Daphnia pulex: one gene and its partner. The protein of the gene in region 1 interacts with the protein of each later gene in a pairwise test. Links are inferred from orthologs where the notes say so. Each region holds a gene or a part of one and is shown in the gene's direction. Other genes may lie near its edges.

Region 1 (7,551 bases):
CAGGTAAATTCCGTATACATACTACGTATAATGTCTATGTGTCAGAGAAGATATGGGACTATTCAAACAAGGCTGGAGAAAAACACATAGAGAATTTTTGGTGACCATTTGAGCTGCTGCCCAGCTCTATGTGTGGGCTGTTTTTTATTCCCCACATTATCTTTTGCTCTCTGCGGAGCCAGGCGAACAAATAAACACAACACACAAACAACAAATCCGAATGGCCATTATATTGCGGATTGCTTTATAATTTCTAGGCCCCCAAATCGTCTAATTACCCGCTGGCTGGCTGCTTTGGTGGTCATCCAGAGACGAGTGTTGTAGCGTATAGTAGTAGTAGTAGGACAAAAAGAGATAACCCCGTGTGTGTGTGTGTGTGCTATGTGATGTGTGTTCAACCCCCTTCTCTCTCCATTTATACAAGGCTCATATAAGAAGAAGATGAATAGGACCAACCCCTCTCACAGAAGAAGAAAAAAAGGTTCCCCCCTCATTGGAAATGTGCCGTACTATATAAGAATAATAAGGTGGAAGAACAAATTCCAAAGCCCTCTATCTCTTTTGGGGTTCTTGTGTGTGTGGTTATTTTCCCATTACCTTTCCGTAGTGTTTAACTGGCAAAAATGAAATATACCAGAGGAAAGAGAGAGAGAGAGATGCATATGAATCTTATATATGTGGATGACCCCCCCACCAGCAGCAGCTCTCAGTCCACTGTATGTATAACTGCAGCATCAGCGCACAAGCCCCGCGAGGTTTACAATTTTTTCCTTTTTTCTTATGGAGGGAGCGAGCCAACCGGAATTCCAGACGGGGAAACAATTCCATCGCCCCTTAAAATAAATATATTTTCTTCCAACCTTTTCTTTCTTTTTTGTTTTAAGAAAAAATAAAAGAGAATGGTGCGACTCTCGTCGCGCTAAACGTTCGAAAAATGCCTGTCAAAAGTTGACCCCCTCTCTCTCAGTCGGATTTCTAGTGAAACAAAAAGATCATGCTCGTTATCGCTGTTGACCAGAAACAAACCCCCACAAATCCACCAGCAAGGTTTTGAAAGAAAAAAAAGAAAAAAACCTCCCCTTCATCTTTTCTCTCTCTCTCTCTCTCTCTGATGGTTCCTTTTATTTTTCGCTTGAAATTCCGCGCCGGAGTGATGACCCAGTCGCGCCAACGTTATCACTCACTCACACATATACAGCGGCCGCCGTATATAGTGTACTTCTTTTGTTGTGTTATACGACAGCAGTCGAGCCATTTTTTCTTACAACTCTGATATCATTTCAAAGATGATTGGTATATATGTACGCATATAAAAACCTTAAGAAGAAAAAAGGAAAATGTTTCTGTACACATCGTCCATATAATTTTGGAGAGGGGGACTCTTGTCTGTATACGGTTCCGTGTCATTATTTGATGATTGCCGCCCACAGGCAAATGATTCCATCCATTCCGTTGTGTCGTCAACCCCCCACATTGGTTATGTCGCCGTTGTGTCGAGGGGCTGGAAACAAGACACGCCTGTAGGCTCAACCGCGGTCCGTCATCGTCGATTGTCGCGTGAAAGCGGTGGGATGGATGATGATTTCGGGGTTCCGTCTCTTTCTCTCTCTTATCATTTCGAGATTGTGTCTCTTTTTTTCTGGCTATATCATCTTGTTTTTTTTTTTGTTTTCAATTGAAAAACCCTGGCCAATTTTGCGGTAAACCTTGAAGCGTGACTGAGTGGATTATCTCTCATTTTCAACAAGGTAGGAGAAGAAGAAGAAGCTATATATAAGAAGATACAAGCTGGTGGACATGGCGCCAGCCGATCGGTTCCCATCGGACTTTTATTTTTTGTTTCTCTTCTTCTTTTTTTTCAAAAAGAAAAGGAACAACTCGCATGTTCTCGTTTCACTTTAAAGAAATAAAACCCTCGCCATTTACCAGGCAATTGACACTCGATATGCGAATCGAACAACAAAACAAAAACACAAACAAACTATGGGTTAATGAAAGCAAATGGATAGGTGGATGCGGTTTATCGCGCGCATCTAAAGCAAAAGCGGGCTGAGGCTGGCGGCGGCACTCGGATACACATGCCAGACGTATCCATGGCTGGATCAGCAGTTTGGCTGTGCATATAAAGAAAATGGGGTAAATAAGTGGGTGGACAAAAGAGGCCTGCGACATTGAAAGTACTACACATCCCATACATGTCTATAGTATTTTTTATTTTCAAAAATGGCACACGGAAAGAAAGATGGATAGTAGCAATCTCTCTCTCTCTATGTGGAAAGGCAGCAGCAGATGGTGATAATTAGATAAAAGATAAAAGATTGAAAGAAAAGAATTGAACGCAGAGACGACGACCGAATGAAGGAGGAGGAGGAGGGATCAAGGCATCAAGACTTGAATGGCCGAGAGATAATAAAAAGCGGATTGGGGGGTTCGGAAAATGGATGGAATGAATAAGAAAAGAGAAGAGGAAGGCCCGAAATTGGGGAGGCGACCAATGGCGAACCAGGGTCTCTCTCTCTCTTTGGCAGCCCACCCAAGGGCTATGGCCAGCACACAATTCCGGAGCCAGCGCGACGATCCGTCTCCACTCGTACGGACTTGCGAAAAAGCAACTGGGAAATAAAACATGATATCTATCGGGTCGTCTTCACTCTTCAGCATCAGTCGTTCAAGTATCTCAGTCCAGTGCGGTCGCGTTGTGTGTGCGTCTTCACTATTTGAAAAATAAGAATAACAACTTTTTGCTGGCCCATTATCAGTGTGTCCACTCCAAGACACTTAACAGAGTGTTGTGTGCTTGTGTTTTTGTGTGTGCACAGTTGATTGTGAGTTTAGAACCCAACAAGTACAAAGCCATTAAATCATGGATGCGGCTAAATTGGCATCGTCGGCCGTGAGTCGAGAAGATGAGCTTCAGCAATTGGCAATCCATGCGGCCGGAAATCGATTCCCAAATGAACGGAGACCTTACGGTATGTTTTCGTTTTGCATTTGGGTAGTGAAGAAGAAGAAATTGTTGGTGGGTTCGTTCGTTCAACTCTCCGTTTTTCTCTTTCTCCCTTTCGAAACAATAGAATTGCCACCGATTGGTAGCGCTGGATCACCGTATCAACTTCCTCCGTCGGCGGCAGCTCATCACAGTGCGTCGGCAGCTGCGATGATGGCCCATCGCCATTTGGCAGCCGCCGCTTCCGTCAAATCCGATCCCAACATCAAAATTGAATTGGAAAACGCCGAATTGTGGCAACAATTCCATCAGATCGGCACGGAAATGATCATCACAAAGTTGGGAAGGTGCGTGAATCAATCCATCAATCGGGCGAATTTGTTTCTCTAATCCAACTTTTGATTTCCTTTGAAAATAATCAGACGGATGTTTCCGACTTTGAAAGTCAACTTGAGCGGATTGGATCCCAACACGAAATACTTTGTCCTGTTGGATTTAGTCCTGGCTGATGATTCTCGATTCCGTTTCAACGCCGGATGGCTTCGTTCCGGCAAGGCAGAACCACAATGGCCGTCGAGGATTTACACCCACCCGGACAGTCCTGCCACCGGAGCTCAGTGGATGAAACACGAAATCTCATTCCAAAAAGTCAAATTGACCAACAACACCATGGATCAGCAAGGCCACGTAAGTTAATTGATCATTTCGTCACACATTAATTGCGACTCGGGTATTAACGGACAATTTTAATTTTTAACCTATACAGTTGGTTCTCACCTCGATGCACAAGTACGTTCCACGAATCCACGTCATCGCAGCTTCCGATTACGCAAGCCTCCATTGGGGAATGCCTACGACCATCAACACCGCGGCTTTCAACGTCTGCAGTTTCATCGCCGTCACCGCCTACGCTGTAAGTTCTAAATGTCGGAAAAATTCAATTACGAACGTATCAATAACGATTATTCTATTGGATTTCTAGAACGATCGAATGACGCAACTGAAAATCGATAATAACCCGTTCGCCAAGGGATTCCGTGAAAACGGCCAGCTTCGAGTGAAAAAGCGACAATTGAGAGACAGTTCACCTGGTAAGTCATTGATTCACCTGCTCGATTTCAAACGGAACCCGTTGTATTAAACTCGTGTCTTGATTCGTTTAGAAAACCGTAAAAAATCTCGACCGAGCAGCGCTTCAAGCTCTCATTCATCACTCAACATCACCGACGACGAATGCAATCCACCAACAGCGCCCGGAGTCCTCCAGGATCCTGTCACTCCGCCACCTTCGTTGACAGTTTCGTCGTCATCGCCCATCAAAGGTTCACCCACCAACTTTTCAATCGCTCGCCTAGTGGGAGAAACAACCAGCCCGGCACCCATCATTTTCCGACCTGAAATGCAACATCATCAGCCGTCATCCTTTCACCATCTTCATCCAGCCATCCATCCGTGGATGGCAAATCAGCATCACCACCATCTCAGTCCTTATTCTTCTGTGTTTGCTCCGAGGCTGACCGGATGGCCTCACCACTTGCCTTTGATTCCTATGATGCACTTTTCTTCCATGTTCCAGAATGGCCCTCATCACTTGATGATGGGAAGCCCTGGCTCGACCTCACTCACTGGAAATCCTAATGCGAACAAACTGTTTTAAAAATTCTCGCCTTATTTTCTTCGTTGTCCCTTTTTTATTTTCTTTCGTGTATTCCCTCTAGTCAAAAGGGGTATGCCGCATCACGTGCCTTCGCTCCGCACTCCCTGTTGATATAATTGTATTATTTTCACGTTGAATAATCAAACAAACACAAAACAAAAGTGTCGCAAATATCCCATATTCTATTAGCACAATGAAAAAGTGATTTTTTTTTCATTTCTCACTCTTTTAAAATTAATTGATTATTACACACACAAAATAAAAAAAAAATAAATACAAATCCAGCAAATTGAATTCATTTATTCATTAAGTAAGTCGAAACGGCTTCGGTGGAAACAAAAAAAAAAATTATTAATTTATTTATTTCGATGTAACGGGAGAATCGAATAAAACGTCGCCTACTTCTCATTTAGAGCACAGCAGCATCTATTTCTTATCGCCTTCAATCATTGCAATAACCTTGGCTCGAATACCCTATAAAATCGATAAGATAAATAAGAATTGTAAGCTCAATCGTTTGGTTTTCTAACCTCGGCAATTTTCGCAAAAGCTGGCTGAATTGTCATTAATTGCGACGGCAATGGACTTGAAGTTTCCGAACAACTCTTGGAAGCTGCAGCTTCTAAATATAAACAGATTCAATTAAAAATACGAACGCACTTTCATTGTCTGCCACTTATTATTTATTTTTTTACCTGCTGCGAGTTTACGAACAGCCGAAGTGATGGGTGATACGCGTGATTCACGTGAAGGTGATCGACTCTTGTTCCGTGGACTTTTACTTCGACTCCGACTAAATCTGTCGCTTCCCGATCGACTTCGAGATCGATGGCGACGTTTACTTTTACGTAATCGATCACGACTACGGCGTTTCCTCTTTTCCTTTCGATGCCTGTAGATAACGAGAATAAAAATCGACACAAATGAAAGACAAAATTCTTGTCAAATACCTGTCGCGACTGCGGTGTTTTTTGTGTGGACGTCGTGGTGATGGGCTTCTGTGGATGGGTCTGTTACGACTACGACTTCTACTTCGTCTGGTTCGACTCACGCTGCGGTATCTAGTTCTGCTGGACTGTGGGCTGCGACTTCGACTACGGCGACGGATCGCTCGCCGTCGTCTTTCAGATGGAGAACGAGACATGGAACGGGTGGTGGATAAACTAGGGAAATTCCAGTTAGTTTATGCAAAATAACATAGAAACGAATAAATCAGGATAACTAACCTTCGTGATCTTTCTCTCGTTTCTCCAGAAATAGCACCAATAATTTCTACATCTGCATCGTCAGGGCTGCCAGATTTGCTTTTCTTTGTTGAACTGCTTGTAGATGCAATCTCTGCCGTTTCCGTCTCTTCTATTGCCTCTTTCCCTTTGGGAAATTAAGAAAACAACACACGCTATAGTTTCTGTAGCAGTTCACACTCAAGTCGAACAATACCAGCAACTTTATCCCTTCTCATTTGGTCAAGAAATAACGCCGCCTTTTTCCGACGTTCCGTCTTCATCAGCTCGGGATCAACAACCAAACGTTCTGCAGGGCTTTCTTCTCTGGTCTCCCTTTTGCTTTCCACGGAATGATTCGAGGATTCTGACTGCTTGGCTTGTAGCTCTTGCTGCATATCGGTGTAGAGTGATAGTTTCTCCTTGTAATAGCTGTGAAATGAATGTTCGGTACTGAGGAAACTAAAACGAGGGTCGCCTTCACGACAAACAAAAAACCAATCAAGACAAATGAAATTTAAATAATAATACAAATAGAAGGTATACCTTTGCTTTGAACAACCGATTCCAAATGGCGTCCAATCCGCGACATGTAACTTGCAGTTTTATCAATTAGTAAACGAACTTCTGGAGACAGCTGTAAAGACTGCGCATCATCATTTGATTCTACTGTCGGTGAAACGACCGGATCCTGCAAAGTTGGAAATATGATTATCCAAGTTCAACAAGTTTAAATCGCGTCGTTCTAACCGAAATTTTGGATTGTAAAAGAGGGTGCAAATAATTATCGCCTTCGCTGTCGGATTCATTCACATGTCCGTTGCTCTTTGCGGATTCTCCTCTGTCGTCATTTTCGACTGGATCTTCTGTCGGAACGACATAGTTTCCGTTACGTATGGCTGCGAGTACGTGACGGTAAAATGGGTGCAAGGCAGTGTCAAAATGTAGAAACTGAAACATGGGGTTGTTAGCTTGTTTGGCCTTGACAATGATTTCCATTTGAGTCCCTTGAGAAGAAATAAAGTTTGCCGTTTTCTCGATAATCCTCGCTAACTTTTGAGTCGGTGGCACTATGATGTCTGGTGGTACGTCAAGTATAGGAGGAGGTACGTAAACTGCGTCTCCCAATTCACCAAGTGCTGATTGAAGAGGGACTTCTTTTGAGTTCAAGTCACTGACCTGTCCAAATGTTATCAAACATGAATTACTGAATTGATTTCAAGTGAAGAAAATGGTGGTCCCACCTCAGTTGAACTGGTGTAGCTAAAGGGGACCTGATGATAAGAGACTTCCTCTGATGTGACTTCACTCAGATCCTGGTTAAGCCTCTTGATTTCCTCCTCTTTGATGACAGCTTCTTCCGCTTCATCTTTGTAAAGAGCGAAGTAGCGTTCTTCGTCACATAGTTTTTCAATGCGTCTTTCTTCGGACGTGAGCCCTTCGGTGCGATCGTGGCCGCCCTGGGGTGCTTCATGTGGTTTCAGGTCGAATAATGTGCCTCGCGCGTCATACCTGCAATTTGAAGGAAATAAAACACAAGTTAACCAAGAACTCGATACCACATGATAAGCAGCAGTCAGCACACATTGAGGAAAAACAACACAATTCGATCCAAACCTTCATTGTTCAAGTAATCCAAAATTTGTGCTGCAGATGTTGGGCAACAATTCAGCTCAGAAAATTTGTCTTTGAATCTAAGCGCACCCAATAAGTTGTCCTGTTGG
Region 2 (7,663 bases), on another chromosome or scaffold:
GCTAGACAAAAAGGACGAATCAAAACGGGCCCCGGCACACTGTGGAAATTGTGCAAAAGTTTTGGCCACCGTCAAACATCATCATCATCATCATAGCCTTTGCTTTTATAACTCGATTAAGCTGGAACGTCGGTTGGGTTGGGAGGGGGGCATAATCAAGTCGTAACAGCATGCATATAATATACTTTAGTCCCGCGTGCAGTTATACTTAACGTTATAGAGATATTATATATACATATTGTGTATATGTATATCTCTAGTTTTCTGGCGGGCTGGAGGTTTATTATATGTACACACATAGAAGCGCTGATATTATAACGGGGTATATACACACACATGTCTAATAGTTTCTTAACTTTTTCGAGTTGCAACTGTGCATGTATATAATCACGGCTGTAATAAAATCTGACTAAGAGAGCATCAGGCAGTATAGGCAGGAGTTTTGAAAACGAAGTTGATGATACCTCGCCAAATTGTCATATTATATTACAGCGGCTAAGTGTATTATAGCGTACTTGAAAAAGGGAAATAGTATAATAGAGAGAGAGCTCAGCACACGTCTAATGGGGGGGGGATGCATCATGTTTGACCAGATTCGTTTGGGTTTCAATCGACAAAACTCTATATAACTGTTCAATTCTGATCGACTGTGATGAGCTTATATATATTTGGTGTACATCCAAAAAGCCAGAACAAACAAATGGACTCGACTGGAAAAATGAGACCAGTCTTGTCACGTTCATCGAAAAGAATTGATCACCACGCTCTACTCTGCTTGTATACCGGCTCGTTTTTTTATTTTTCTTCTTCCCCCTCAACAAATTTCAATTCGAATTTTTTTTTTCTTTTCCAAACACTCACGAATAAACAAATGACTAGTTTTGTTGTCCTTCCCAGAATCCTGTCTCGCCTTCAGCAAAAGAAAAAGATAATGTTTTTTTATTGATCGATCGTTCATTGATTTCCAAATTAGCTAAATTTTAAATAATAGCGCCATAAGCAATTAATTATAAGAGCAAATAAGGGAGGATATCAATTGTAAAAATTTTTAACTTTTTATCAATTCAAAGAAATGGGGGAATGTATTATTTCAATGGGGAAAATTATTAGCCCCCGACAAAAACTATATGGAGACGACGCCGGCTGACATCAAGTATAGCGCCGGCGTTTAATTGCTTTATGACGATGTGCCCAGTTGAGCCGGGCAGCGCACGAGAATAAATGTGTACACAAGAGCTGTGTGCTGGGCGTTTGTTCCAGGCCAGGCTATAGCAAAGAGAGCGGGGTTATACACTTCCCGCATTGCGTGTCAATCGTTGCGACCCGACGTCAACTCTCTTAAAACTTATTAGAACAATAATATCACCAGTGCTGATGATGATATGCCCGGCCGTCTCTAATAATAATACATTATACGCTTAAATTATAGTACCCCCACTTTATATATGCGCACTATACATATATACCACCCATGACATATTTGACAAACAATTGCGCACCGCATCCATTTATAGCCGGCACGAAATTATTTATTAATCCAATTTCTTTCTTTCTTTGGCTCTGCCATATCTACATAGGCCTAAACAAGTACTAGCACGGAATCAAGGTGCAATCATGTTAATCCTTAATGTTTCCGCCGTTCTTTTATTTTTTGTGTGTGTTTTATTATTTGAAAAAGAAAAGCTGCTGCCATCAGACAAGAGAGCGTCCAATAGTCAAGAGAGTCTTAAAGAGACGAGAGCCACTCTGCTCAATTGAAAACTCCCGCAGCAGTAGCAGAGCAGCCGGCCGAGCTGGGATGAAATTCCCTCGGTGACCCTTGGTTTCTCGACATGTTTATGTCCGTCTTTTCTTTCATCCTCCCAAGCAGCATCCGCCCGAAAGAGAGAGCTCCAGCAATCGATCGAGCGTCTAATAATTCAGTCATTGTATTCATTTCTATTTCTTATTCCGTATTATTATTACGACGAGATCCAGGCAGCCAGAAAAACGGTGGGAATATGTGTTTCCGGATGGCGGCCAGCAGGCCTATATAGTACAGACTTTCATTTCTTGATTGTTATTTAGTCGCCACACACATCTTAAATATCTTCTTCCTCATTTTGAAACAAACAAGAAAAATAATTTTTCCCTTACGCCGGAATGACTCTTCCGAGTAGAGTCGGAAGCGGCCAAGAAGAAAAACAAACCAAATTTTTCCTTCCATAGCCCAGTCAGTCAGTTTGTTAATAGTTAGACACACACAATATCAAGTCGATTAGAGGCTCCTCCAGCTTGTTAAGCGGAACGGGGAAAAGTAGAAAAACCGGAGGCAAAACAATCCAATTAAGTCATCCGGGCGGCGGTAATGTAGTATGTGCACTGCAGTGTATAGCCAGCGTGTATTACCTTTGCGTGTATTAGCGTGAAAACCGCGCGCCTTACATTATATTTCAAAAACAACGAACCTGGAAAAAGACAGAAAAATTACAAAACGGAAAATGGTAGGGAGAGAAAAGAAGAAGATAAAACGGAATATAATGGACTCGCTCGGCATATAGACGAAGGAAAAAAAGCGGAAGAAATAAAAAGAAAATTCAATCCGCATCCCCCACCCTCACTTTTGGGCTTTGCCCTTCTTTTCTTCTATTTCTTTTTCCAAAAAGAACCAATGGCAGTTGAATAGGCGGACCAATGGCGAGCGGTGGTGCCAGCCCGCAAGCTCCTCCCACCACCTCACGTGACTTTGTGTGTGGGGATGAAAGGGGAGGGGAGGGAGAAAACGGGTCCCGAAGAGCGTTCAAGTCACTTGACATGAGAGGCAGATTACACAGCGATCCGGCACTCAGTCGCTGACTAACTGCAAGTCACAAAAGTCGTCGCCGTTTCACCGTTCCCCCCCCCCCGTCATTCACGCACCAAGTCAATCAGTCACATCGCCGTCAATCAGTTTCGTTGGTTTTGTTTGTTCATTTGTTTTTCGTTCATTTATAGAATTTTGAAATATTTTATTCCGGCCGGAATTGAATTGAATAAATCAGTCAATCCCTCCGTTGTCTTAAAAAAGTGAAACATATTCGTGCGGGATCCAGTGTGCCACACCACAAGTGAATTCCGGCGTAATTTTGCGTAATGACACTGGACAGTCAGGTGATGACCTGTCCTGTTAACAAGATGGCAGTCTCGGCCTCACCCCGTACCAACAACACGACCAGCAGTGCCGGAAGTGGATTGAGTTTTAGCATTTCTAGACTCTTGGAAAAAGCTACGGCCAATGACAATTCCGCCTCGGCTCATCCGCTGGAGATTAAACCGTCGGCTACGGTCAAGTCCAACAGCAACCCGAAAGTGACAGCAGCGGCTGCGGCTGAATTGTTGCTCAGCCGAGAAAGTCCGCCGGAATCGCCGCTGGAAGTGGACGACGAGATGGGCGAGGACATGAGTGACGTGGACGACGATGAGGACGTCAAAGTCAACGATTCCGGCGACGAGGAATCGGCCGGATCTCGACCGGACGATTCGAAAATGCCTGACTATTCTAGTCATCCGCCGCATCCGTCGATGGGCATCGACTGGTACGCCCTCTACGCCCTGCAACAACAGCAACACCAACAACACCACGGCATGATTCCGTCGCATTTGATGCAGCACCACCACAATTCCGGCGCCTTTGCCAACAGCCAACGCGGAGGGCCTTCCGGCGGCATGTTGAACATGAGCGCCGGCACTTACCTCAGCTATCCGTCGACACCCGGATCGACGGGTACGAACGCCGGTTCCGGCGGTGGGGCGTCTTCCGGCGGTTACCCCGGCGGCCCGCCACCTCCTCCGCACGGATTATCTTCGTCATCTCAACACTCGCCGCTGTCGCCGGCCAGTCTCCATCACCACCACCACATGAGTGGCGGACTCAATCCGGCCGGAATTCCCAACGCCTTTGCCGCTCTACTGGAAGCCACCGTCTTCAAGGATCGATTAGCCGCAGGTAATAATCATCATAGCGGGGAATGTTGGGTTGTTTATTCTTTTAAAAAAAAAGCGCGCGTGATTTGAATTTTCTAAAATGAAACTTTCATTTCGCACGACACGGATGATAAATCGAGCGAAAATTGTCGCTCAACCGCCGACGACACTATAGACACACACACAGCAGCAGAGGATAGTATGAGAGACCTATCAAATAAAAGTCGACGCTAAATTATTCATGATATCGTCATAAAGGCCCAGGCCCCCTTCCATTTGAAAAAGAGAAACAGAGTCTCACAAATTTTGTATCACCTTTATTTTTTATTCCCCTGGAATCTTTGATGCGTTTATTACGACGTGGACTCTCTGCTGCTGGCTGTATAGACGTATGTGTATTATAGACACACACAGACGGCGAGCTCTTTGACATGTATATACAGTAGCTGTCTAGCTATTGTATCAATGGCCGTTTGGGGCTGCTGCTGCTGCTGCTGGAATCGAAAAAAAAGAATAATCATTTTGAAATGTATATAACACATATCTCTTGACTCGCTTGGGGGGGGGTTGTGCTGTGCCCATGACGAATGATCCGGACATTCAACGTGACGCCCCAGCGACGCAAGTGGATTGCTCTTTATGCATATGTTGAATATTAAAAAGAGAATCCATATACGCCAGCATCTCGAGAGAGAGTCACAGAGTCACAGCTAGTCTGAGAGATATTATATGAAATAGTAATGGCCAAAGCACTTTGAACTTATTGGCGCTTCTGCTGGGCCGCCGGTCCCACATTTTATTTGACACCTCTTTTTTTAGTTCAAGTTTTTTATTTCAACTCTTTTACATAATTGTAACGTCGATGTAAAATGACATTTTTGGAAATGTTTTTTTCAGGATTTCCGTTGGCCAGACGCATCGGCCATCCGTACCAGCAGCGAACGCCGCCCAAGAGGAAAAAACCTCGCACTTCATTCACTCGTTTACAGGTGAGCATAGTCGATTTGCTTTTCGCGATCAATCATTGATTAATTACTTTCGGTGGACACGGCAGCACCGAAACGATTCGCTAGAACACCCATTACATTCGCCGTCGGGGTGAATGGCTATAGTCGACTGACGTCAACTTATTATTTTATTAAAGAGTCTTGATTGTCTCCTTGAAACCAAGTTGTATAATTCATTGATTTATTTTTACGCTACGACCCAAAAAAAGGTGTGCGAGTTGGAGAAGCGATTCCACAAGCAGAAATACCTGGCGTCTGCTGAACGCGCCGCCCTGGCCAAACTGCTCAAGATGACCGACGCCCAGGTGAAAACCTGGTTCCAAAATCGCCGCACCAAATGGAGGTCAGTGATGATAATAATATTACCAAAACTAAACCGACCGAAATTCCTGAACGCGCGGGTTATTCAATTTAAAATTTAAAATAAAAAGAGAGGGGGGCCAAAAAGGAGGAGCAACTTCATTATCAATAGACGATTGATTGACACTCCCCTAAAGCTATACATACAAAAACTCCCGGCTCCTGCTGCTGCTTTGTAGTTTCAATAATGTGTATAAAAACCTATTTAAAGTCAGACACACACAGCACAATAGTGCGCTCTGTTGTTTTCAAACGTATTTTGGATGGGAAGAGAGTTTGTTTTGTTTTATTTCCTATCGGCAACATTCCCCCCCTCCTGCTGTCCCGCTGAAAATGGCTGGCGCGCCATTTAAAAAAAACATCAGCTTTACACGAGCACTTTCAGCTGCAGCTATTGCATTTGTATTTCACCAAGTGCCTGATTGTCATTCAAAATGGCCGTCTACATTATTCACCGCCGACGTGCCAATCAGATAACGAACGAGGAGGACGGGGGGGAAGCCCAAGGCAATATATACAACAGTGTGTGTATATCTACGTGCATGGCGTCGTCGTCGTCGTCGAAACAAAGTTTCTTCTTCTTTTGGTTGTATATATGTTATATTCTCTCGGCTGGTTTGCCGTGTGCTGGTTCTATCTCTCTACTTTGCGAGCTGATCGAGAGTCGCATTATTATCTGTCGACGCGGGATTGTCTTAATTGTTCACGGCTGATTACGGGAACGACGAAGATCGTTTGCTAAAGGGCGCCAAGTTCATCCAGACGTTTTTATTTCTTCTTCTTCTTTGGCTGCCGCCCGTCGTGTGTACTGTAGTCTTCTTTCCCCTCTTCTTCTCTCTCGTGTGTGTCTTTTTTATTTTTCAAATTGTTTGAGTGGGCCCATTTGTCTGTCGCTAGTCGTTGGCGCCGGCCGCAAAAAAAAAACCCACCCAGGATGGTGGGCGCCACCTCCCAGAGCAGGTTCTTCCAGCTAAAACTAAAATGGTTTAAAAAGAAAAAGAAAAGAAATACTTTTTTTTCCGTTTGAGATTGTAATGTAAAGATGATAATCTAAAATGCGTAAATCATCATCACTTTATTTTCCCAATTTGAATGGCGACTTTTTTTAAAAAAAGGACTTTTATTTGTCGTTGCGCCATTAGATTTGATATTGGCTAGTCGCTTTAAAAATGGTGGCGATGTAATATTAAAAAAGGGAAGAAGAGAACAGGTTTTTTGTTTCTGAATGCGAATCATTTATTCCATCAACAGAGCCGCAAAACAATCGCAGAAAACATGGGTCGTGTGTGAGAGGGGATATTATAATACTATCACGAAAGAAATTCCGATTGATTCACGACTGGTTATTTATTGATTATTGCTGATGTGTCCTTGGGCGTTTTTCCCCCTTTGATATTTTGAACAGTGGGGTTTCTTGATGTTACGTCATAGCACACAAGTCTAGCTAATGCGCCATGACTTGTCCGGCGAGGTATTAAATGGGAGTCTAATCTACACGATCCATCAATCGAATAAGTCCATATGTCATGCGTCTTCCTATTAGAGTCGTTGCGCTACTGTCGCCTATGTAAATTTCAACCATCTGAAATTTCATTTTGATTTGTGGCTCAAAATCTATCCACAAACTTGTTTTATTTTTTTCTGTGTGGGTATACAATACCAGTACGAACGGTCTCAATTTCAGTTTGTTTTAGTTAAAAAAAAGGTCCTTAATCGAAAGAGCATGTTGCGGGTCCACACGATAAAAAAAAAAGAGCGCGGGCTATTTGAAAAACTATTAAAAACTAAACCAGCAGCCAAAAAGAAGAAGCTATGGTTTTTTTTCTTTTCTCGTCTATATACTATTTTTGTATGAGAGCGTCTTATTGCGCTGTTTGATATACTCAGCAGCAGAGTGGGGCGACCGTCGTCGTCGCCGTGTCTCTCCAACAGGACACATCCATCAGTCGGTGGGAGAGACACGGAAACCTGCTCCTCTCTGCTGATGGCCTCCACTTCTTATCGGAGTTGAAAGAAGAAGAAGAAGAAGAGTCTCGTCGTCGTCCATTTTGCCTTTTATTTTAAATTTTTTCTAAACGGTGGGATTGCGCTCGCGCGCGCGCGCAACAATCAATTAACTTGTTTTTTCTCTTCTCTGGAAGAAGAAAATTGTTAAGTGGATCGGCTAGCTCTCTGTAGGAGATTGTGTGTGATACATTGGAGACCAGGCTGCTTCAAAACCTTGGGCTCTAAACTGTTTTTAGTGGAGACCGAGATAAGGTGGGGCCCCATTAAGGGCGGTCCACCTTTTTTTCCCAATAGCCATCGACTTTTCAAAGTTTGAATTGTTTTCTGATTTATTTTCTGATAATCGC

The links. The genes of interacting proteins can lie anywhere in the genome.
Region 2: the proteins of T-box-containing protein TBX6L-like (region 1) and homeobox protein bagpipe-like interact in a two-hybrid assay, tested with the Drosophila melanogaster proteins (2 studies listed by BioGRID). The link is inferred for Daphnia pulex from reciprocal best matches to the Drosophila melanogaster genes Doc2 and C15.

Annotation. Positions count from the first base shown.
Region 1 is NC_060017.1:3,030,378-3,037,928, forward strand, and holds T-box-containing protein TBX6L-like, read left to right. Parts: upstream 1-2,647; 5' UTR 2,648-2,863; coding exon 2,864-2,972; intron 2,973-3,074; coding exon 3,075-3,294; intron 3,295-3,369; coding exon 3,370-3,634; intron 3,635-3,713; coding exon 3,714-3,860; intron 3,861-3,929; coding exon 3,930-4,038; intron 4,039-4,110; coding exon 4,111-4,604; 3' UTR 4,605-4,765; downstream 4,766-7,551. Other genes in the region: hypoxia up-regulated protein 1-like, read right to left, coding at 5,031-5,078, 5,135-5,226, 5,300-5,496, 5,555-5,767, 5,831-5,975, 6,045-6,305, 6,374-6,518, 6,578-7,006 and 1 more.
Region 2 is NC_060024.1:11,050,147-11,057,809, forward strand, and holds the start of homeobox protein bagpipe-like, read left to right. Parts: upstream 1-2,770; 5' UTR 2,771-3,111; coding exon 3,112-3,964; intron 3,965-4,839; coding exon 4,840-4,931; intron 4,932-5,158; coding exon 5,159-5,292; intron 5,293-7,663.